Linked DNA regions of Drosophila melanogaster. Changing the gene in region 2 together with the main gene of any one other region gives a genetic interaction. Each region holds a gene or a part of one and is shown on either strand. Other genes may lie near its edges.

The links.
Region 1: of Raf (region 2) and cnk, changing one enhances a phenotype caused by changing the other (phenotypic enhancement), as found in Drosophila melanogaster (2 studies listed by BioGRID).
Region 3: of Raf (region 2) and ksr, changing one enhances a phenotype caused by changing the other (phenotypic enhancement), as found in Drosophila melanogaster (2 studies listed by BioGRID).
Region 4: of Raf (region 2) and pnt, changing one enhances a phenotype caused by changing the other (phenotypic enhancement), as found in Drosophila melanogaster (2 studies listed by BioGRID).

What each region holds. Positions count from the first base shown.
Region 1 is NT_033778.4:17,413,977-17,421,548, forward strand, and holds the start of cnk (connector enhancer of ksr), read right to left. Parts: upstream 6,032-7,572; 5' UTR 5,493-6,031; coding exon 5,435-5,492; intron 5,272-5,434; coding exon 5,108-5,271; intron 5,049-5,107; coding exon 597-5,048; 3' UTR 1-596.
Region 2 is NC_004354.4:2,293,678-2,298,468, reverse strand, and holds the start of Raf (Raf oncogene), read right to left. Parts: upstream 3,004-4,791; 5' UTR 2,511-3,003; intron 2,316-2,510; 5' UTR 2,116-2,315; intron 1-2,115.
Region 3 is NT_033777.3:5,477,868-5,485,519, forward strand, and holds ksr (kinase suppressor of ras), read right to left. Parts: upstream 6,040-7,652; 5' UTR 5,771-6,039; coding exon 2,870-5,770; 3' UTR 2,123-2,869; coding exon of another isoform or gene 1,979-2,122; 3' UTR 1,916-1,978; coding exon of another isoform or gene 1,766-1,915; 3' UTR 1,706-1,765; coding exon of another isoform or gene 1,520-1,705; 3' UTR 1,455-1,519; coding exon of another isoform or gene 1,251-1,454; 3' UTR 1,176-1,250; coding exon of another isoform or gene 1,019-1,175; 3' UTR 523-1,018; downstream 1-522. Other genes in the region: Hcs (holocarboxylase synthetase), read left to right, coding at 1,019-1,175, 1,251-1,454, 1,520-1,705, 1,766-1,915, 1,979-2,122, 6,461-6,792, 6,863-7,040.
Region 4 is NT_033777.3:23,343,148-23,347,695, forward strand, and holds the start of pnt (pointed), read right to left. Parts: upstream 3,021-4,548; 5' UTR 2,251-3,020; intron 1-2,250.

The DNA.
Region 1 (7,572 bases), on a different chromosome or scaffold from region 2:
GTACAGTTGACTTTATTCGTATGCATGTATATTTCGTGTAATTGTGTATATATATATTTCTTGCATTCCGCTACAACATTTCTGGCTCCATTGGCGTCGCTGGATGCCATTACAATAATATCTCATTTCGCATAATAATATATGTATATTACACGCAATCTAGACACAAACTGTTGAGCAAATCAAACAGCTCGGATTAACTTGGTTAATCGCGTACAAAGGCAAATCATAAAGAACCGTCTTTGTTCGATGCACAGACTTCTAAAGTTATTCTCCATTTTCGCTATAATTCATTGTTTTGCTTGCGTGACTACATGTGTAAAACATTTTGCCTAGAACCGAAATACAATGCAAATAAGGCAGATTAAACATTTACATCTAAGTGGGTTTCGAATCGAAGGGATTGCAGGTATGCGTGTGTTTGTTTCTGGTGGACAGACAGGGAAGACGATCAAAATGAACAAGTTGTATACCTAAATCGTACGAGAATATCGCTATATATAATATATATATATATATCTATATGCGTGTGTATAAATACATAAGTAAACGGGGGCTAATCCCCGCGAGCATTCACAATAGTTTTCATCACACATCTAGGTCTGATGGTGTTCGCCGCCACTGGGACTGCTGTTGGTGTTGGTGTTGTTATTGGTGTTATTATTGTTGTTGTTGTTGTTGGTGGTGGTGGTGCTGGCGGTGGCACTGGTGGCACCACTGCTGCTGGGCGTCCGCATCACGATGCGGGACAAGCTGGTATCGCTGAGCGAGTAGATTTCCGGCTCAAAGACAGGCGGACACTCCATATTTGGATAGTCCGGCGTTGCCGCCTTCGAATCCACAGATCCCGAACTGGACACTTTTGGGGTGGCCGCACACTCTGATATCGTTGCCTCCGCTTGCTCCTCCTCTCTCTGCCTGCTGGTGTTGACGGGAGGCGGTGGCGCTGGGGGCAACGGCGGCTGCAAGCCCTCCGACGAGCACAAATTAGTGGTCGAGGTGGTTAGTATGCCAGGTCCACGGTAACTTCGATATCCCGCCTGATTGTGCGTGGGCAGGGTGATTTGGGAGAAGATCTCCTGATCGCAATCGGGATCCGCACTGCTTGGTGGCGTTACTGCCTGCTGCTGATGGTGATGGTGCCCGAACAGCGTGCGATGCAGCAGCGGTGAGCCCAGGAAACGATTCTCCTTGGAGGGCTTCGCCGGCGTGCCACCCGATATGGAGAGTTTCGAAAAGATTGGTATCGGGGCCGAGTTCTTGCGATGCGCATCGTACTTGGTGCCCACTATCTTGTCTCGCAGATCCTGATTGTACGTCTGGCTTTTCTTGATGCTGCTGCCGCTGCCGATTATGGTGACTCCATTGCCTACGGCTCCATCCAAGGCGTGATTCGATTTGGACTTCTTGTTCAGCGGCAGCGTCATAGTCATCGCATGACCCGGCCCACAGCCACTGCCCGCGGAGCCAGTTGAGTGCTTGGAAAAGGGAAACCGACGATCGCCGCTAGACTTTCCTTTGGACTTCTTTTGATCCGCACCGGATCCGGAACTCTTGCCGCTGCCGCCGCTGCTGTTCTTGTGCAGGAAACTGGAGAGCTGTAACTGCTGTGAGCGCAAGAAGTGCTTGGCCTTGCTGCTATGTTGCTGCTGCGTCTGCTGATGTTGTAGCTGCTGCTGCTGTTGCACATGCTGCAGGTGGTGCTGGTGATGATGATGATGATGGTGGTGCTCTTGCCGGCTGATGGAGCTAGTGCTCGGCTCATCCCCACATATCAGCTCGTAACCAAAGTCGCGCAACTTCTGACCTTCCTTAGTTCTGGTTCTCTTAATACTCTCGTCGTCAGGCTTAAAACTGATCTCGTAGTCGGGTGTTTTGGGCAGACTCACGCTCTGGATCTTGGGCAACTTTTCCAGCGGCTTTGTCACGCTGCTGCTCATGGCGCTCTGCTGACTGGCCGTGGATTCCGTCCGTGCGTGCTTGTGCTTCTCCACACCCAAGTGCACTCGATTGTTGTACATTTCCTGGGCCTCCTCCTCCTGTTTGCGCAGCATCAGATCCTTAAGCGTCACAAAGCCCTGTATATTATGGCCATGGTCGAGTGTATTACCCACACTCATCTTGGGGAGTAGTGTTTTCGAGGTATGGAAATCGAATTCCACCAAATTCGGATTTGAGGCGTGCAAGAAGTTGAATGGTGCCTTCTTCAAACTCGACTTGCTACTGGGACTCTGGCTCTGGCTCTGACTTGGACTCTCCTCGGAGCTCTGATGCTGCAGCGATGTGGGAGTGGCTGTAGGCGTGGGCGTTGGCGCTGGCGACGCGGGCGGACCCAGAATCGAAGCAGATAATGATACGGCAGACTCGGTTCCACTGACCACCGAACTCCTACTTGAGCTACGCGACAGTTTAGGACCCACCAAAGGTGGAATCTGTGTCGGCGGCATTGCGGGATCATGGTAGCCCGGTGTATTGGCACCAATCTGAATGCCAAAACTTCCGCCTGGCACCTTCCTATAGCTGCGGTATTGCTCCGTTGGCACAGGGATGTCGCTCGACGGTTTCGCTGCACTGCTCTTGAATGTATTCGTAAATTTGCGAAACGAGTCCAAGTAGCCGCGTTCATGCTTAATGGGTGCAGAGGAAGGTGGTGTTCCGCCAGATAGTGTCATCGACATGGACATTGACTCCTTGTTGCCTTGCGGCGAGGGCGTGCTTAAATTCTGGATCACAAGGGCATCGCATTCCTCGCCTGAGCTATCGTTCTCCGAATACAAATCCTTTGCGTCACCACCGCCTTTTGAACCCGTACTAGGCGGCACTTTGAGCGAAGCCTGGCGCAAGAAGTCCACCCATTGGTTAAGTGCGTCCAGCGACTCGGCCGCAAAGTAGAAGCTCTTGGCCGTGTGGTAAACTTTAAAGGCATGCGGTTTGGAGTGCACTTCTTTTGCCAATGAAACCGTAAAGCCCGGTAAAAATATTACCAAGCTGGCGCTGGTACTCTGCTTACTGCGAAATCCGTACAGTATCGTATCCAGCATCACGAAATAGATTCTCGCCCAGTAAGTCACTCCGCGATGATTTTTCTTGCGCCTGTACAGATGACCTTGGATATCCCCAGTCCCCAACAGCTTGAGATTTGTGTTCCGCCGCTTGGCCATTAAGCTGTGCTTCTTTTTAAGGGTCAGTGTCCGGGATTTGCTGGGCGTATGAAGCTCACTGATCTCCGATGGATCAACTGCGGCTGGTACAGGTACTGGCACGGGAATGGAGATACTGGTGATACTACTAGCCGGCTGCATGCTGGCTGGTTTTGGTGGAGGTGGAGGCACCGCCGGTGGCGTCATTTCCCTTTGCTTGCGGGGTCGCGGTGGCGGTGCTGGCGGTGTGACAAGCAGGAACTCCTTTCTTGGCTCAATCGCTGGCGGCGTATCCGATTCTTCACCCGAATTATCGTATGCCGGAGTACTATGACTCTTGTCTAATCGGCCCCTTCGACCTTGCTGCAACAAAGGCATGTTAATGGCCTCGGCCAGGGGCAAGTCCTGACCTTTTGTAGCCAGATTAATTGCCTCTAGGAGCTCCTCTGCGTTTTCTGTTTTGCAGTTGCGCAGCGTTTCCAAGGCGTCCTCGTCTCCCTCATCCGCAAAGGGAATCGGTTCAAAGGTCTCCAGTATGGTGTTCTCAACGTTACAGATAAATTTTTCATTCTTCATCACATAATCTTCCTTGGCGTCGAACCGAACTACTTTGCTGACACCCGGCTTGTAACGATCCACGAGGAATTCGCGCTGCGAGTCCTCCGTCAGCTGCTTTAGTTTTCGCGCCTCATGAAACATTCGCCTGGCCTTGTCCGTGGAGGTATCGCCCGCAATCCCAATGCAAGTGGTCGGCCTTGCTGCCATCTCTAGGCCATAACCGAAGGATATCGACTTATCCCGTATACTGGGCGAGCCAGGGTCGCAATTGGTGGGCGAACCAATTCCTGGCTTTCTTTCGTGCCACGATGGAACGACTAGATCCGAGTTTTTCAGGCTAAGATACTCGCATCCACAAATAGTGTTTCTTCGTTGGAGCAAAGCTCTTGGCTTTGGGTAATACAAACGGATCTCCCGTGCGGCTAGCTTGGGATCCGTTGGTGTTGGAATATCACTGCAACTGGAATCAGAGTCGGAGGCAGAGGACACTGGATTGGCCTTGGTAAGTACCTCCCTCTTCTCACTGCTTAGGGATTTACTGGGATCTGGCACCGCGCTTCCTGTTCCTCCTGTTGCCAGTTGCTCCGTGTCCAGGGTTAAAAATGCAGCACGGGGACTTGGCATCTGTGCCGCCCAGCGGGCGGCCATATTCCTCTTCTTGCTGGGCAACCTGTACGGCTGCATATAGATCTGTCCAAACATCTTTGTGTGCTTCGGCCGTTTCTTCACCGTCAGCACCACATCTGGAAGTGCTTCCCTCAGATGCTCCAGTACTGTGCGATGCTGCCAGCCCACAACGGTCTGGTAGTTGATCTGCACAATCTCGTCGCCATCTTCGATTTTTCCGGAATTGTGAGCTGGCGAGTTGTACTTGATATCCGTGACACGGTGAATGCCATTATAACTGGACTCTATGTTGAAACCCAACTCGGATTCGCGTTTTTTAAGGGTGACAAGGTTCAGAGAGGCTGGCTGCAGTACCATGGGATCAGATATGTCCTGGATTACAAAGTTGGCAAGATTCTCGAGCCGTTCCGCTGACTGTCGAATCGCTGGCACCGGCTGCAGGGCAAAACGATCACGGTGGGCAATTGTGGCCAGCTCCAGGCCGCATTTGAGCACATTGCCACAATACTCGCGGTACATCTCCTGCTTACGGAACGGTGTTCGCTCCAGGCTGCCCACCAATGGCTTTAGAGTAGCTATCGTCCTGGTAATATCGTGCAGTATCCGGGTATCGATCTTAGTGCTCTCCGCATGATTCCTGGCCAGTTCGCGATGCAGATTCTTAGCTGCCGTGGCCACATGCAAGGCCATGAACTGCAGATTGTCGTTTTTCAGGTGATAATGCTGGAATATCAAGCTCAATTAACGGGTTTGTATGTCACAATATTTGTTTGGGGTCTCACGAAGTTTCTTAAGTTCTCCACCGCCTCCAGCACGATCTCCTGATGGCCAATGCGCAGCATGCCCAGATTCTCCAGCTCGTATGGCCGTATGTTGAGCAACGCCCGTCCGCCGATCTCCTGCTTGGAGAACTCGTACAAATACCCCTTCATAGACTCATCCAGACCTGCGAGAATCAGGAAAACATAATTATTATGATGTGCCTGTTGAAACCTTGAACAAAGCGGAAATTCTTGTTGCACTTGTTGTTGCTGCTGCTTTTTGGGGCAGTGGCTGCGAGATGCAGTTTTTTTTTTCTCAGCTGCGCTTTCCTTGACCTCGAGCATTACCTTTTATCCAGTCGGTGACCTGGTCGGGCGTCCACTCGGCGATGTTGATGTAGGCCATCGCTGCTGCTGCTGATGATCCGCGCTGGGCCGCACCTACGGCATATTATCAATTCGTGCTGCAAAAACACTCGAACCAAGTTCAGAATTGCTATATTGTTGCGTCTCTCTGGTCCGGAGTGACCATCTTTTAGAGCTCGAACAATACTCGGTGCTCGTTAAATACTATCGAACTAGCGTGGCAATCGATTATTTAATGCATTTTAAAACTGAACAAAATGCAATTTATTCAAAGTTTCTTTAAGGGACAGAACAAGAGGAAAGAAAACTATAAATTATGATACTACTACATACTACTTTCTCCATCCAAGATAGCCAGGAAACAGCCACATGTTTCTGTATGTGTTTATTTTTATAGTCTTAATTAATATGAATTTGGCTTGCAGTGCAAGAGAGTAAGAGTAACAGTTATCGATAGAGGACCAACAAAAAATAATCGAATTGGTAATTGTCTCATGTTGATATATTTTCCGAGCACTACCGCTATTTACAACCTTTTATTTGTTAGTACCTAAAGATCATGTTGTAAGCTAATCTTTTAGAAACCACAAAGTTTTATGTAAAATATTCACTTATATTGACACAAGCTCGAAGTAATAATTATCAAACATTTAAAAACCCCGCTTCGGATTTAGCCATTCACATTCGAATTTACTGCAACCCAACAGCCAACAGCGCTTCGCAACACTGTCGCCGCCCCAATCAAACAGCTGAGCGCCTTGCGAATGGAATTGAATTGCCCCAAAACATATAAATAAATGCCTCAATGACAGCATCAAATGGAGATAAACAAGGCAATGAGCGTCCCTCCGCTCCAGTGCCTTTCCCCAGCTGACAATTAGCACTTTACTTGACCATTCAAGCTCGGGTAGATGTATACATATGTATGTATACGAAGGCGGCGCACGTTTTTCCAACGCAATGCCTTCAGAAACGAATCAGTCACTTGCTCGGAGAGGGAGAGGCACGACGAAGTAAATCACCGCGTGTTTTTTTCTAATCGCTGCAACTGGCTGCTGCAATCACTATTCTCTTGTCGAAATGTCTGTGACCCAGACGAAACAAATCAAGTTCTACAACCCATCGAGTTCCGCTAGCTCCGACAGGTAACGAACGACTTTTTAATGCCGCATTAATTCACGCACGGCCAAAAGTAAAGTGTGAAAATCCAACAGAAGTCATTAGAATGTGATACACACTCACACACACACCCGCGCACAAACATATCTAAAGAGCATGTGCTCCAAGTCATTCATCGTATGTACGTACGTACCTACTTACATGTGTGCGTCGTGGGGCCTCTAATCACGCAATATAAATAAATGCTGGGAAAATGGCATAGGGCCTGCGTTCGCAAACACCACTACATGTGCAAACGCATAACATGTGATAAATTCAATTTCGATATAGTCGCCGGTTGCATCGGATCGGAAGAGAGTGTGAGAGAGAAGGCAAAGCGAACACCCTGCGAGAACAGTTACAAGCTAGGGATGGGCGCGTCAGCGAGTAACTTGTAATGTTGCAGTTTGAAAAAATAATATTCATACCACAGAAACATTATTAAAATAACTTTGGTGCGATCCGTGGAATGCTATAAAAAATTACTTGTGTATAAGTATATGTAGCGTGAAATATTTTATGATTTTATGCGCCTAAAAATTAGAATATTTTTTTCTCTAACAAATTAAATATCCTTCACTTAACAAAAGTAAAAGAGACATTTGTTATGCAAATTTGGCTAAAATGTAGAGCACATCTTCGACTGAGTCGTGTCACGCCAAACCTCATGTACCACATGCCCACCTCTATGAAGGCTTGCGACAACAACAATGCAGAGACGACGCCGGCAGAGGAAACCGCAGCGCAGCGCAGCTTTTTAACCTTAGCTGCCTTAACACTTTTTCTTGTCATTCAATCCCCAAACGCCGCTCACCTCGCACTTCTCGCTACACCTTTGGCTTAATTTTTTGTTTTCATTAGTTATCGAATAAATATTGGCCGCAACGCAAAAGGTGAATCGCTGCGTACGAAATAAAAACTCTAAATCACATGTGATCCACGCCGGCGGCGATTCGCGTGAG
Region 2 (4,791 bases):
GACACAAATTTCTAAACAGTTGTGTATGGTGTTTCTATAAGTTATCATTTATGTATTTAATTTATGTATCATCCAACGGATACCAAAAAGAGCGCATTATCGCAAAATCGGCTGATGAGTCAAAGAAAACACGAGGTCTTCACGATTAGGGTTCAATATCCCATATTCCAATGGCCCTTTCGGGTATTTCCACATTTCGGTACATACCCTTATCTTTTCTCCTCTTCGTTCACCGTTTCGACGATTGAAAGGCGAGCAATTGGATATTGAAAGTGGTATTGGAATTAGCTGTAGTACTGCGCTTTCAATGGGGATCATCCCACTCAATTAACGGTGCTTTTCATGGGCTTAGTGAGGACTTAAAACAGAGGGGCATCTTAACATTTATCAACAAATTAGCTAGTTTTTTCCTCATTCTTGATGATATTATAAACCAACTAAAGAATTCGAGTGCTACATATGTATTAACAAATATCCCTCTGCCTAGCTACGCCCGAGCACTACACCACACCCCCCCCCCCCACAAACGCTGTAATTACCGTTAACCAAGCCTAGCATTGTCTTTGGCCCTCTGTAACGTAACTGTAACTGTAACTAGCGCGCTTTCTTTGCTCTGCCGACGCTGACGCCTCAGCCACTGTCCGTTTTTGGGCTACTGGCAGCAGGTACAGTGAACACCGAACGACGATTCATGGTCGTTTTAGTGCCCACAAATAAGAGAGTTGGTGCCATTTTTACTTGTGAATAGTGCAGAATTGGTGCGGGAAAAATGAGAGAAGAAAACCAACAAAAATCTTAATGAATTACGAAACACTAGTCACTTAGCGAGTGTCTGCTGTACACTTTGTGCTTCATGAATGAAGTGGAGTGCGGGGAGATTGGCGACTAGACAAAGAGTATGCCGCTGGCCCACCCTCTGCCCCCGACGAGTCGGAAGTGACGATGAGAGCGGCGAGAAAAGAAAACAAACTGTTGGCGGCTGGTTTCTCAGCGAGAGAGTTTGCCTGAGCGAGCGAGGGAGCCTGGCTGCCGGGGATGAGGATGTTTGGCGGTGAAGGGGAGGCAAGGCCGCAATTAATTACAAACTCACCCAGCTGTCCCCACACGTTGCCCCCGTCTACCAGCTTCTGCCACTTCCTCTTCCCCCCCCCCCCCCCCCGCTGCTTCTCGCAAGTCTGCATCCGAAAAGTGGCACGTATCAATGTTGAAAGCATAAACACACAAAGAGACCAACGAGGCGCTCTCTCGCCAACGCCAAAGCGAAGAGCAGGAGGAGGAGCAGAAGAAGCGGCGAGAAATGCAAATGCCTACAAAAAACAACAGTTCTATCCAAAGTTAAATAGTTCACTTCGATGTAATGCATTCCCGTCTACTTTTCCAACATTAAACGAAGTCATCGAAAATAATTGTGATATCACACCCTTTATATGTACGTTCTACGCACATTTGATCCTTTCATTATCCTTTTTTCTTGTTGCTCGCCTGACCAAATTACAAATGACCACACAAACATGTGTTCGAGTGCAGGAACAGCCACCTTGCATAAATGGCAACTGCCCATACGTAATACGTAATCCGTACTACGTACTGCGTATGTACATATGTATGTACACACATGCAATGTTCATCCTTCCTCCTTTTGGTTGCGGATGATACCCACTGAAAGTAGAGTTGAAACGACTAAAAGTCTAACAATGCCCACTGCCCCAAGCACTGTCGTTTCTTGAATGCAGCCAAATCAACAAACATCACGGGAAGAGCGTGTGTGTGTGTTTGCGAGTGTTTGCGGGCCGACAAACATGCGCAGGCTGAAATCTGCTGACGACGCTGAGGCGGCATTTATCACTCCCAAAAAGCGTTGGGCTCCGCAGGGGGGTGAGGGAAGGGTACGCGCATTGGGAGTCATTGATTTTCGTTTATGAGTCGGGCAGGCGACGCTCTCACTTTTTATACGTTCATTCACACGCGGCACAGTGGGCCAGAACAAGAACAAATGGACAACAAAGCATTTCGGATGACAAGAATTCGAAGCTAAGACATGCGTACAATTAAACTTTAGAAAGATCTAAAAAAAAACCCTTGATATTGACTTAGGGTGGTTTCAGCCCAACTTACCTGTGGATTAACACGTTTGCCAGGTAAATACTGCGATTTGTAAGATTTTGACTTTAAGACGTTGGATAATCCCCGACAATCCGTTGATATGCGTTACTCCATGAAGGGCTTGAACGCCAAGCATTTGTTGGCTTTATGGTTAAAACACAATAATGCAACAATGGGTCATCAACTGCCAATTTATCCCACTGTGCTCTCCGCTGAAGTGAAGTGGCCGATGCAAAGGCAAAGAGAACGTTCCCATCGCACAGAGAGAGGGAGAGAGAGAGCAATCAAGAGTTGAGAGAGCGACTAAAAAAGGTGTAGGAGTCCGTGGAGGGGGGAAGGAGGGACAGAGGATAATAGAAGGGGAGGAGAATGGGGAATTTAAATATGTTATTGATAATTGAAATTACCGCGCGCCCCCGCTGCTCATTCAAATGCAATTTTGTTGCAAAGTTTCGATTTCGTTGTCACTCCCATCCTCCGCTTTTTGTTATTCCTACCTGCACATTGAAACGAAGCGAAATAAAAGCGCGTGCTAAGGACTTAATGGCAGTGCACTAAAAACATCTTCAAATTCAAACGGAATAAAATTGAAGCGAGGCGCTGATTTCGCTGCCGCTGTCGACGCAGGTAGCGGTGTGTGTGTGTGTGTATGTGTGTCCGTTTCGGTTTTTATTTACTTTGTTCTGCTTGTTTTTTCCAGTCTCTCGTTTTTCCTTTTTGTTTTTTGGCTTCTTTTGTTATCGGGCAGCAAATTGAAAGCAATAAATACTTAATTGTTAGCTTGTTGGTTATGTTGTTTTTGTTGTTGCTGCTGCCGCTTAATTACGTAATTCCGAACTTATCTGGGCGACTTTAAGAAAATGCAAAAGAGCGCCAAGCGTGTGGCAATGGGAATGGAAGAGGGATGGAATTGGAATGAGACGCGAAAGAAATCAAAACGGCCCATTTAAGCAACACAAGAGACACAGAAATTATGAATAGAGGTGGGGAAAAAATGTAAAACCATTGAAAATTTGTCAATATCGAAAGTGGGTCTAAGTCAAATGGCAGGAGTACGTGTGATTACAATTTTTTAAGATAATCAAAAACGTATGTACGTACATATGACTTATGTACATACATATGCTCATATATGTACATATGACTTATGTACATATGTACATATGCTCATATATGTACATATGTATGTGTGTGTGGGCATTATAAAAGATGAACTACTGAGATCGAGATCGAGTTGATGGCACTATACCAAGAAACGCGCGCAGGCAAATGTTTCTGGCTTATTTGTCCTCTTGTGACACAATTAGCTGATAAAGTTCCTGATGTTTTTCCCCGCAGCGTCTGGCATGTGAATCATCATCGTCATGGGAGCTTTTGTTTCTGGGAATTTCAATTTTGAATAAACAAAATCAAAACGAGAACTTTACTTCTTGCGGCTAAACACTTTGCACAAACACGTGCAAACTCTATGTTTGCATTTGCGTGTGTGTGTGTGTGTGTGTGTGTATGTCGTCATCGACCGTCAGCGGCGCCTTAATAATAGTACACAAAAATGATAAACAAAGATCCCCCCACTCACAGCACTCGACCCCTCCAGCCATTCACAACGCACGCTCATGAACTCTTCCCTTTCTCTCGCACTCGCACTTGCACTCGCTCTCTCTTTGTTTGAGTGCAAATTTGCATTGTCTCTTTGTGCTCGCACACAAACATATGTATGTATGTACATGCACGCAGACATAAGTGCGCACATAATCACACACGCTGACTAGTGCCAAACTGACCTCACAATTGTTGTTGTTACGATTATTTGTGCCCACTTTCTTGCTTTTGTTGTTGTCGTTGTTGTTGTTGTTATTTTTCGGATCATGCTAAAACTGTAAATGATGAGATGAACTTGTTGAAGAGGATGAATCGAGCTGGAAACGGGGAAGGGGGTTGATTCGAGCTCGCATTTCAAAACCTCAAAATACATAGTTTATAGACCTTCTACAGAGTCATAAGCACACATACATACATACATCCATGTATGCATACATCTTTGAGACAACACTTAAAAAACTATTCTACTTGGATTCTGATTCGCAAAACAGACTATAGGAGCCACTCTACAAGCATGAACATATGTATACATGCGCATATGTGTGTATTTAATTTTGTTAAACCCGTTAAGCCGAGCCGATAAGTTCAAGGGGTTACCCCCACGCCTAATTTGGCAATTTCAATGGATTCGAATGATTCCATGTCAGCGCCGTGTGGATTTCTCAATTAGCAGTTGCCGCAAGTGTAGGTGATTGCCTTAGCAAGTACTTTGCATAGCCAAATCCAGCCAAAGTCACTATTTTTACATAATAAAGGGGCAGGAGCAACAACTATGCGGATTATGCTCATCACCGAAGCGCCCAACCACTCAAACACCCACGACAACACAAATACACCACCCACTGACCAGCGATTTGCTTCCGTTACAAATGAGTAAAAATCTTTGCGACAAATATACATACACATGTACAGTGCAGGTGGAGAGAATAGCACTGAAAATGTAATTACAGTTTTAAGATATGTGGGAATATTGGAAAAATTATGTTAGCAATTTGCAAGTTGGAACTAAGATTATTGTGTCTGTAAAGATTGTTAATGCAATATGTCAATTAACTTAGTTCATACAGAGCACCTATATAAAGTAAA
Region 3 (7,652 bases), on a different chromosome or scaffold from region 2:
CAGTGTATTTGAAACCGAAATGTTGCATGTTTTATACACCCGAAAGCCCTATTCAAGTCGATTATTGCACAGCCGTCGGGTAAATTGTAAAAAAGAGGCCAAGTTATAACGCTTTACTTTTTAGACCCTTGCAGAAGGTATATATCTTCCAGTCAGAAGTTTTCAGGGCTTAAAGGGTTAAAAGGCACTTTCTTCATTCTTGATCAGTTTTACCAGCCAAGTCCGTCTGTTCATCCAGTTTTAAGGATTCTAGCCTCTCAGTTTTAAAGCTGTTTGCATGAAAAGACTTCCTCCTGAAATATGTAAGTAAGAAAAGGGAATAATCGGTCCTCTATTTCTTATAGCTTCCATAGGAATAATCGAAAAATAAATGAAATAAAAATGGAATATATAATTCCCGTTTTAATTTGTATTATATTTTTTCTTGACATATACATATGTAATTTCTGCAAGGGTATATGAACTTCGGCCTGCCGAAACCAACCTCCTGTCTTGTTTCATTTATGTATATTATTACTTTTTCTGAATGGGGCTTGAAATGAAATGAATTAATCCTAATTAATCGTTCTTATACTAAACCGATTCTAACCAATTCCAATTCTCATTTTATTTCTCAAATGTTTCATGCTCAAATTGGTCTCGTTTACTCTAAATATGGCTTAATTTCTATTTGATTCGGTGTGCACTGTAATCCATCTATCTAAACTCCGTTTTCAATCCGCCTAACTAACTAACCTATCTATGTTTTCTGTAAGCTCTCTTAACTCTTGTTTTTTATCGATTGAATGTGCCATCCATGTAATTTAATTGTTTAATTGTGTTATAAACATTTGGCATTTCAAACCTTTTCACCATCCTGCTACGTTTACCTTCTAAATCCTTAAATTTCTGCGTGTGCTTCTATATGTGTGTGCTATCACTATTATAATCCATCCTACCAATAACTAAAATAACAACAAACCAAAAACAAACAAAAATCGAAAAAAAAACACAAATCAAACCACGAAACGCTGCTCAGAGCTCTAGTATGTCCAAGGTCCATGGAACTGAAGGATCTGGCCGGTCACAGCCACAATTTGGATGTCCATGTGCTGGGAACCGAGGAAACCTGGAATACGCCCAGCTTGATGTTGGCCAAAAGCCTGCAGAGCGGCGGAAAGGCCGTCTTCTCCCAAGTAAGTGATTGCTCATGTAAATATAACAAACATATATTAAAAAAAAACATTCCTATGAAACAAAAAAAAAAACAGGTGCACTTGGAAATGAATCCCAGCGAATTTGAATCCGATGAGACTAAGTACTCCATTCTAAAGCAAAACGAGCGAACTCGCCTCGAGATATTTGCGGATCTCCTGGGAAAGTACTTGGATGTGCAGGTCCGCGGTGGAGACGGTGTCGACCAGCCGCAGCCTGGAGTTGTCTACAAGCACGCATATTTCCTAGGTCGGCACGAGGTCAGTTCGTCTCTCCATTTGTTTTGGCATCAGAATCCAATATTCTAGCTCTTTTTGTTATTCAGGCCAAGTTTGAGCTTCTGGAGAAGCTACGTCTGCGCTGCAGCGGATCCGACAACGTGATAGCAACGCCGAACCTGACGATGAAGTTCTGTGGCAAGGACGATAAGCCTCCAGTGGCCAACAACAATGTCCTGCCCATACTCATACATTCCTGTCCGGATGACTTCTCCACCGTGGATTACTTCGATGTGAGCGCATTCTAATTCTAGTCTATAGCAGAATTAACCCAAATTCCTCTTATTTTAAAGAATCTTAAGACGGAACACATCGGACGACTGGTCATCTATGCACCGGTGGTCAGCAGCTCCATGCATCTCATAAACAACCTGGAGCTCATCCACGGCCTGGCTGTGCTCCCCGTGCAGCAGACGTCCGGAGTGGGTCGCAGAAATAATCAAGTTAGTACTCTAGAAGCATCCAGATTTAAGTTCTTGTTGAAATCATCGCTTTGTGCTTTCCAGTGGCTTAGTCCGCCGGGCTGTGCCATGTTCTCGCTGCAGCTGCACCTGACCATGGACAGCGCTTTGAGCTCTCGGCTGCCTCTGTTGCAGCACCTTGTTGGAACGGCGATTGTTAATTCGCTCCGCAGTCATGAAGAGTACGGGGTGAGTCAAGACTGTAAAGTTTTACCATTTAGTTGAATCTTAAGTTAAGATTGTTTCGATTATCTCCGCCTGTGGGACGATGGGACGAACCTCAGGATCTGTAAAACTGCCAAGTGCACAAAGTGATTTTTTAGGTTTAATAAGTTTATTTGACATTTTGTTTCGATTTCGCATTTAAAGTCCATTTACTATATACACTTGACCATACATAATTCACAATATATATTTAATTTAACACTAGTCCGTCATATACAATACATTGCTGCTGTATATACATGTATATATATATATATATATATATATATATATATATATATATATATAGTTCTCTTACACATAATTAACAATTTAGAAATTGCTCACCTGATTAACGTTTACATTTATGTTTGCCACAGTGCTTGTTTGTTTGTTTGTATATGTATGTCTATGCCTTCTCTGTTTGCCTCTGCTCTTAAACATTTAAGCGTTTTGTCTTTTTCGAGTTAACATTTGATTTGCCTTTGTTTCGTTTGCTAACAACTGCAACTGGAGTGCTCCCGATACATGCCTACACATATGTATGTAGTTTTTAAAATGGATTGCTATAATTTGGTAGTTACGTTTATGTATTTACAATCTTCGCTCGGCTCGATAGAACTTCGCCTTGGGAGAGAGTTTGTGTAGAGTGGACGAGGGCACAAAGCGAGCTAGCTTAGTTGGTAGATCGAAATTGTACTAGACAGTGACAGTGGCCATGCTGCAGTTCCCTCAGAACACGGACTCGGCGGAACGGGAAAGGTTGACGGGGTGGGAGGGACTGCGCGCCAGACGCTTCTTGGGAAGATGCTCCAGCAGGGAGAGCAGGCGTGCGAACTGCGGCCGGTGCTCCTTCTCGTAGGTCCAGCACAGCATCAGCAAGTCCTTGACATCCCGTCCAGACTGCAGGTTGGCCAGCGACTGCTTCATCCCACGGCCAACCTGCCAGATGATCGATTCCGCCGGCTGATCCTTGAATGTGAACTCGCCGCAGATTAGCTCGTACCAAACGGTTCCGAAAGAGTAGACATCGGAGTATGGGGTGAACTCCAGACACTCTCCACGCGGCTTCTCCGGCTGCAATGCTCGGATTAGCTCCGGCGCCAGGTAGCACAACCAGTTGTGGGGCACTCCTAGGCCCATATCACAGTAGAGCAGCTTGGTGGAGCTGAACAGCCCAAAGTCCGTGATAATCACCTTGCCGTTCTCGATGAAGATGTTCTTGGTGCGCAGATCTTTGTGGATGATCTCCCTTGCGTGCAGGTAGCCCATGCCCTGGGCGATCTGCTGGGCAATGAGGAGAGTCCGGTTCATGGCAAACTTCTCCCGACGCTGGTGAATATACGTATACAAGGTGTTGCCCTTGCACAATGAAGTCACAATGGCCAAATATGGTGGGTTCATGCAGGCTCCCATGAACAGCACCAGGTTCTCGTGTCGAGTGTTCTTGAAGTTGGCTACCTCGCTGCGAAACGTCTCCAGCATGTGTTCGTCTTGCAGATAGTCCTCGTTGAGCAGCTTAACCGCCACATCTCCGTGCCAAAGGGCTCGATGCACGGTGCCGAAGCGTCCCTGCCCTATCCGCTCGAGCAGAAGCAGATCACCATACGGGATGTCCCATTCCTTGAGTGAGATCGAGTTCTGGCGCCATTGTCCCGAGTCTCCGTCTTCCGTTGAATCCACACGAACGGGTGTCCGGTCCGAGTCCGTGCTGGCACTTCCAGACAAGGAGACTGTCTTGTCGCTGTCATTTGACTTGTGGGTATCCGTGTACTCGCTGGTGAACGGCGTCCTCTTATCCACACCGGCTGTGCTCAATTTTCGCGGAAAGAAACTGCAGGTGCTGGTGGTGGTTGTGCTATTGACCAGACTGCCCGTCAAGGTGGCCGCAGTAGAAGCGTTTGAAGTTTGGCTACCGATGAGCGAGCTCATGTGCCCGTTGGAGCTGCTCACCAGACTATCAAGTCCTCCGTTGGCTGTTGCAGGCGCCGTGGGGAATTGCTCTGGCACTGGTTCATTGGAGATGAGCGATACACCACCGCTTCCGCCACTGCTCGTCACCGTCACGTTGGGAAAGTTGAATTGACTCGGCTGGTGCTTGCCAAGCGAAGGCGTAGGTAACAGATTGGCGCTAGAGCTGCTGCCCGCCTGATCCAGCTCGCGCTCCCTTTGCTGGAACAGCGCCGGACTGCTGGGCGTGGAACTAGTGCAGCTGGAACTCGGCGAACTGCTATCGCCGTGCTGCTGATGCAAGGGCTTACCCAGGGTGCTCTTTTTTACCAAAGGGGATCCTTTCGCCGCGCCATGCACATGCGGCAGACTGGCGTATCCTCCCTGCTCCTTTATGTGCCGAAACTCGTCCACATATTCTCGTGGAAGTCCACAGGAGGGCGGTACGTGCGGTGCGCATGACTTGTGGCAGATGTACTTGCAGTCGGTGCACTTCATCCAGCGGTGAAAGACCTGCTTCTGGCACAGGGTACAGGTGGCCATGAAGCCCAGGGCCTTGGTGAAACGATGCTTGATTGCATGACCCATGCCCACGTGACCCACGCCCGGAGAGCATGGCACCATAAGCACGTTCGAGGAACTTCCTCCGGAGCTGGCATTAGTATTTGGGTCCACAAAGATGTCCGAGCTGGTGGAGCTGTGGCTATCGGGGCTGGGATCAGTGGGCAAACGGTTGCGGGCTAATTGCTCCCCGTCCACTTGCACATGACTCTGGCTCAGCAAGGTCTGGTGCTTTCTAGCTGGCGGCGGGGTACCACGACTCCTCTGTGGTGTTCCATTAAGGCTGCTGCTCAGCCCACTGGAAGGCGTGAAGGGCGAATTGGGTGGCGAGGGCGTAAGGGTTAAAGTCAGCTGGGAACCCTGTGTGCTGTTCAGCTCTTCTGTCGCTGAGGGCGATTGGCGGCCACTTTTGAAGTTGGTGGAGTTGGCCAGAGCGGAATTCTTTCCCTTGACACCATGCTGGCGATGATGGGTTCTCGGGGAGGCGGTTGAATTGTTACCCAGTCCAATGTTTCCCACACTGCCGCGATGAATGTGGGTGGGCCTGTCCCAGGAGTCCCAGTGCCACTGCTCTGGATCGTTGTTGCTAGCCGCAGTACCGCTCTCCAGCGACTCCATGCACTTCCTTAAGTTCTGCATGGCCCTGGTCAGGCGTCGCAGTTCCTCCTCCTCTCGCTGGCTGGGGCTGTCAGCCAGGAGTTGACGGATCTCCTCGTCGCTGAGACGCAGGCTTTGCTCTAGAGTGGTCAGGCGAGCAAGGCAGGCGGTAAGAGTCCCCTGGCTAAGGCCCACTACGCGCAGCCATTGCCTCAGTTCGTTGCCCGTTGTGTGGGGCACAAGCCCGTTGGCCGGGATGCGCTCATTTAGCCGCATCTTCGCCAGCAGCAGCTCGGAGAAGTATCGCACCAGCTTCGACTCCAGGCAACGAATCTCCTGCTGCGTCAGCGTGGAGCTGATCGCGCACTGCGTTCGCAGGCCCTCCAGATGGTTGGCCGAGAGATCAATCATGTCCTGAATGATAACCAGGTTGCTGTCTACGGACAGCGAACCGGAGATGGGATCGTTGGCATTGGTGGAGCCCGTGTCTGGAGCCGATGCGGGTGCGTTGTTGTTGCTGCTCATCCTGCTTATTCGCGACGGAGTGGAGCCCGATTGATTTTTTCAGACGCCCCCTCGGGGACTCGACGATTCGATGGGACCAATGGCTGGGACTCCGCCCCGCATTGTGGCCCTCGCCAAGCGACCTTGACGTTCGGTGCTCCGGCTATCGCGCACGCTAACGCCCGCAACTCTAAACGGCTTAGGCAATGCGAAAAAGCAATAATTTGTACAAGTTCCTCGGCTGTTGTTGAAATTTCTCTACACCCAAGTAGCGCATCGAGAGAAGTGTGACCATACCCGGGAGGACTCCTTCTCACTGCACACCAAAATGTACTAAAAGCACTTATCCGAAAAACTTAGGGGCACTCCTCTGTATTTAAAAAAAATAGAACGTTAAGTATTATTATTCTTATGTTGTAATTATATTATGTCTTCGAGTGTATATAGCATATATATTTCAATTCTATTTGAAAAATTAATCCAGAAATTATTTTCACATTTTTATTTTATTAGTCGAAATAAGTCAAATATTTTAATATTTATATTTTATTATTTGGAAATGGAAATTAGGTAGATATTATTTTAATATTTTAATTTTATAACTAAAAATAATTTTTTTAAGTTAATATTTGATGTTCCAATTTATATTTTATGATATGTAATATTACGGAGATAGGCGAGTTTTACTTAATTTATTCATATCACCTTCAGGTGCTGGATATTTCCATTAAGTGGCCGAATGACATTTATGCAAATGGAAATCAGAAAATTGGGGGCCTCGTCATTAATACCACACTTCAGGGATCCCAAGCCATCGTCAATATCGGAAGTGGAATTAATTTGAACAATTCAAGACCAACAGTTTGCATCAATGACTTGATAAGAGAATATAATACCCGTGTCCCGAACAACAAGTTACCTATACTTAAGTACGAGCTACTTATTGCCATGATATTCAATGAAATCGAAAGACTTTTGGGAGAAGTACAAAACGGAGACTTTGATAGTTTTTATGCATTATACTATTCGCTATGGTTACACAGGTAAATTTAAAACATTTTTAAAATACATTTAATTTGCATATTACATTTACTAACATGTTTTTATGTACAGCGGGCAATCTGTTAAGATTTGCCTACAAAAAGATCAGGAAAAAGAGGCCGAAATTGTGGGAATCGATGACTTTGGATTTTTGGAGGTGAAATTACCAACTGGTACTATAGAAATTGTGCAGCCCGATGGAAACAGCTTTGATATGTTGAAGGGATTGATTATACCCAAGTATCAATAGTGAAATGAAGCAGATGTGAAAACTCATATTATTCCCCGAACCCTCTAGTTTAATTGGCCCTTAAGCAACTTGTACTTTTTAGGCAAATTTAGGTCAATTTATAACTACGTAAAAACGTTTATCCTTATAAATATTTACAAGGTGATTCTTCTTAAGTGGCTTTACGAAATAATAATGGATAATTTAATCCACTAAATTAAATACTGCCAAAGAGAATTATATGTTAAAGGAAGTCTCAAAATATTTATAATGACAGGTACATTTGTTTGTTCCCTATAAACCAGTGTTTGGAAATTACTTCGTAAGATAATCGCGTTTGTTACCATTGTTATCGCCATCGATTCCTCTGCATACGGGTGTTTTTGAAATTTGAATTTAATAAATACATATTCGATCATTGCTGACCTTAGACCACTGAGATTAACTGCCGCACAGGTCTTATCTTAAATTTAAGATGGATTTTTTTATTACATAATTTTTTTATTCTAAAATTGTTTATTTTATTATTCTTCTAAAATTTTTTTTTGAACTGAACTTTCATTAGAAAGTTATATTTTTTAAAATTTTTTTGAACTGAACTAAAGAGAGCTTGACAGTGTAGTTTCCTATAAA
Region 4 (4,548 bases), on a different chromosome or scaffold from region 2:
ATTGTCCTTATCGATTCGCGAATTCCACAGTTTTTTTTTTGAAACCAATCAATCATTCATATGAAAATAAATTCCTCAAATGCAGATAAGTCCAGAGGGAAAATCGAGGAACAAATGCGTAAGTTTGAAAGTGGCACATTTTTCAAAAACCGCCTTCAAATCGCAGCATTTCGAGCACCAAAAATCATTCGGCAGGGTGCCAAAAACGAGTCGCAATCGCTAAAACTATCTGAACAAAAAACCTTATCGCCCCGACACGTAGATAACCGAACCGAAAAAAAAAAATAAAATAAAATAAAATATTATATATACGTATGTATGAGGGAGAGCGAGGGCGACAACAAAAAACCACACGAATCGAATTGAAACGAAAATCGGAGCATATGTTTTCCCTGGAAAAGAGCAAAATTTTTTGGGTTGGCCCATAGTAAGTGGACCAAACGAGTGGAAGATGTCTGGCAGTCCGAGTTTTTGATGTCTGGAGGAGAGTCTGGGCGCAGCAGATGCTTAAAGAACAGATTGTAAACGAATATGATCTTTTGATATGGTGCGCACTCCTCGGCCAGACGACAACGACAGCAACAACTAAAACACCAGCAGCGGCAACAAATAGGGGTGCAATTTTTCGATGTGTACGTAACGGTAGAATACACATTTAGTCGCTGCTCTTTTCTTTCCCAGCGCCTGGCCCTTTTTTCCTCGCGCTGAATGTAAAGAAGGGATCTCCGATCCGCTGATGATCCTCGGGATGCCTGCCTGTGTACACATGTGTTGTTCTATCTGTCGCAGAACAGTCCGAACTGCATGTGTGTGCGGAATATCTATGTGTGCGGAGTATCTGTGTGTGTGGCATATCTGTGCGAGTGTGTCGTCTTGTCTTGTCATGGGATCGATCTTGATCTCGGCCTGTCTGCAGCAGGTTGATACTTTTAGCATCGGTCCGGGCACAGAATCCGAGTTTAACGTGGCATGGGGCAACGAACCAGCCCGTCGAACATCCACTGAACTGTAATTGTCTGTGGGTATTTATGGAAAAGGATCTTGAACTGGTCTTTCATTTCGGACCAGACGCTCGAGGAGGGAAAGGGAGAGGAGCGGTTGGCGGTAGCTGGGCTCAATTATGATCCGACGATCGTCACACATCAAATTATCGATTATGGCAATAATTTCTTATCATTCCCTTGTGTATTTTGCTCGCAAATTGGTTTTTTTTAAATAGCCCAAGGGATATTAAACATGTCTTTAGAGTAGTTCAATGATCGTAACTCCTTAAATTATCGTTTTTTGGCTTTAAGACTGCGATAAGGACGTAAATCAAGTTTTATCATAGAAATAATAACAATTGATCTAAGCAAAATCTTATTGTAAAATTAATCATTTTAATGGTAACATTTTTATAAAATATGATATCGGTTAAGCCTTTAACTATCCTTTGATCTTTTTTGTATTAATAATTACTTTAATTTACATCCCAAATTGTAAGATCCTTTTAAAAACCCTTTCAGGTAACCCAAAGTGCAGAACAGGAAAGCCCCAATTATACATACTTTAAAACCGAAAGGTCAAAAGAGTAGCACTCCGGTATCAGTTTTATTGATACTTAATTGTCTAATGCGATCGCTGTGCTAGATTCTTGACCCTAACCAAAAACCGTTCACACATTCTCGATTACCAAACCCCTTGGATTGATGGCCCGAAACGCGATCGTGGGGCAGGCGAAGCTCATTTGCCGCACCGGAAGCTGTAAAAGGAACAGTAGTAATTTCGAGCGTGTTTCCCACAAGGGTTGTGGAAGTGCCCCACACACACACACTCACGCACACTGGCGGCTAACTAGCTTGGCTATGATGCCGAGTAGAAAACCAATTCAAATTCTGTTGGCCTGGCCAACAACGAGTTTATAGAGGCAGCAATCCTGAATCGAGGCGAGATCGCGAGATCGGCGGATCTACCGAGCGGTAGCCAAACCAGTTTTCTCCTAGATTCATTCAAGAAAACAGGCAACACCAACACAAAAAGGGTTTACATGCACTCAAAAGAAACTCTCTAAATTTCATATTTTTAAGATAAATATGATTTAAAAGTTATATTTCAAAACTATATATCAACAGCAATTAAGAGATATATGGTTTATTATTTGTTTTCAATTGTTTTGTCTTTTAATTTTCGCTGGATTTTTGTTTCGAGTGTAGGGAAAATAACAAAAACTAATACTTGAACTACTGTTTTTCAACACTTCACTTTTCTTACCGGTGCGGGGTAATAAAATAGCGCCCCTTCGTGAACAAGAAGGCGGGGGCTACTGGGCTCTTGATTTTTGGTTTGTGGGTTCTGGATTCTAAAGACCGTCTTTCGGTTGGCTTTTTATTAGGGTATCCAAATTAATTACAGCTTCAAATTAGGCGCACAATCTTGATGGACTCCGCAGCACCGATGACTATCTCTTGCTCGTTCTCTCTCTCTATCACGCTGTATAGATGTGTATGTTTTAACCCTCCGGTGGGATCAGCAGGTTGATTAGGGGGAGAGAGAGAGGGATTACGTGCCGGGCACAAAGACAAACGAAAAACCGAAAGGAACAACTCGAGAAGAAATCGGGGATCGGTTTAGCTCGGCTTATAAGACGCGAAAAGAAACAAACCGAAAAAAGGCCGACGGATCGCTGGCAAACACACACACGCGCGCGCACACTCACACTCAGGCACTCTCACGCGATGTTTGAGGAGATTTTTGTGGTTTTATGATGAATTTCGTATATAGAAATTGGTTTCCTGTGTTTCTGAACCGCGTTTTTTTTTCTGTTGCTGTTTGCCTTCCTTTTTTTGATGTATATTGCGCGCGCAGATCTTTAGATGTTTTGCTATTGCACTCATTCACTTACACACTGGGTTTTTGCTTGGCTTGCAAAGTGTTTTGCATTTGTTATTTATTTGTTATTTGATTCGTATAATTCATTCAAATCGAATTTACCGTAGCGCAAGTGCACGCTTCCCGAAAGAAAGACAAAAACAGACTGACCGACTGGCAACAGGCGGCAGCGACGCCGACGTTGGCGCAGACGCAGCGTTGACGCCAACGCCGACGCACCTTCTCTCTCCGTTTCTCTCTCTCTTTCTCTCCGCTGCTAAGATTAATATTTTTTTGTGTTGCTCTGGCAAGTGATAACAAAAATGGCAAATAATATGAAAATCGAGAGTTATATCAATCTGACTTATAAACATTATTCGCTATTTTACTTGATCGCTGGAATGAAAACGAAAAGGCGTGGGTGATCCTCAATCTCGCTATCTCTTTCGCACTCGCACTAGAGCGTGCATCATGAGCGCAAGAAAAAAATGGAAATCAGAATTACATATTTCGAGCAGCAAAAACAAAGTGTTTGCAGCGACAAAAAAATAGCAACAATTTATAAAAAAAATCTGCTTGCTCAGAACTCAGTGTAAGTGCGAATATGCGAGAGAGTGTGTGGGTGCGTGTATGTGTGTGTGTGTGTGTGTGCGGGCGATCGTTTTTGGCAAGCATTTAAACAGTGCCCAAAATCACTAGTATATTTAAAATATTTAGTATGCAAAGGGGGCGGAATAATAAAGACAAATATTTTAAAATTTGGCAGTCTCAGTCTTTCAATTGTGTACACTGATATAAAAATTTATTTATTTTGATTCTGGATTTTATACAAATCTATATTTTTGACAAATAAAGTAAATTGGTCAAAATATCAGTTCCAGCTTATTTAAAAGGAAAATTATACTAGTTTCTTTGTTATAATAATTAATAAAATATTTATTTAATATGAAATAATACCTATATGAAAATTTTGATGTGAGATTAAATTATCAACTTATTATTATCATTATTAAAGTTTGCACACAATGTGGGAAAGCTGCAGCTTGGGAAAATACTTTTGGACACCCCAAAAAAAGTTAAGCGCGATATTTTCCCACCGTGACCATGACAACCACTGTGCGTTCGAAAGGCTCTCTCTCTCTCTCTCTTTCGCGCAAATCAAAAACACAAACAGGTTTATGTGTGCGGAGAGTGTGTGCGACAGAGAGCGGCGATATGGAACTGAAACGACTGCAATGTTTTTATATTCCGGCAACGCATTTCGCATAAATTACAAATTACACAGCATAAGTGAATGCAAGTGCAGGGGCGGCAGTCAAATGGCCAGCTGCACCCAGAAAAAGGGCAATAAGATTCGGGATAACAAAACTTGATGGCGTTCCCGATTTTCCCGGCCAAGGGAGCGTATATGTACACATAAAAAAAAAAAACTTAACCAGCCTTGCATAACGAAACACGTGCAATAAAAATATGGCTGATTGTCAACCTCTGCTGCAACTTAATTGCTGCCGCAGAGGTAAAACTGAAAAACATAAAAGGGGGCGACAAGTGCAGCAAGCGAAAAAAAAGAACTCAAAGAGCGCATGCGCGCCGCTCTCCCACTCTCTCTCCCTCTCTCCACTGCGCTGGAATCTTACAACTCGTGTAGGTGAGCCGGATTTTTATGAATGAATGCGCCTGTGTGCGTGACTGCATGATGCC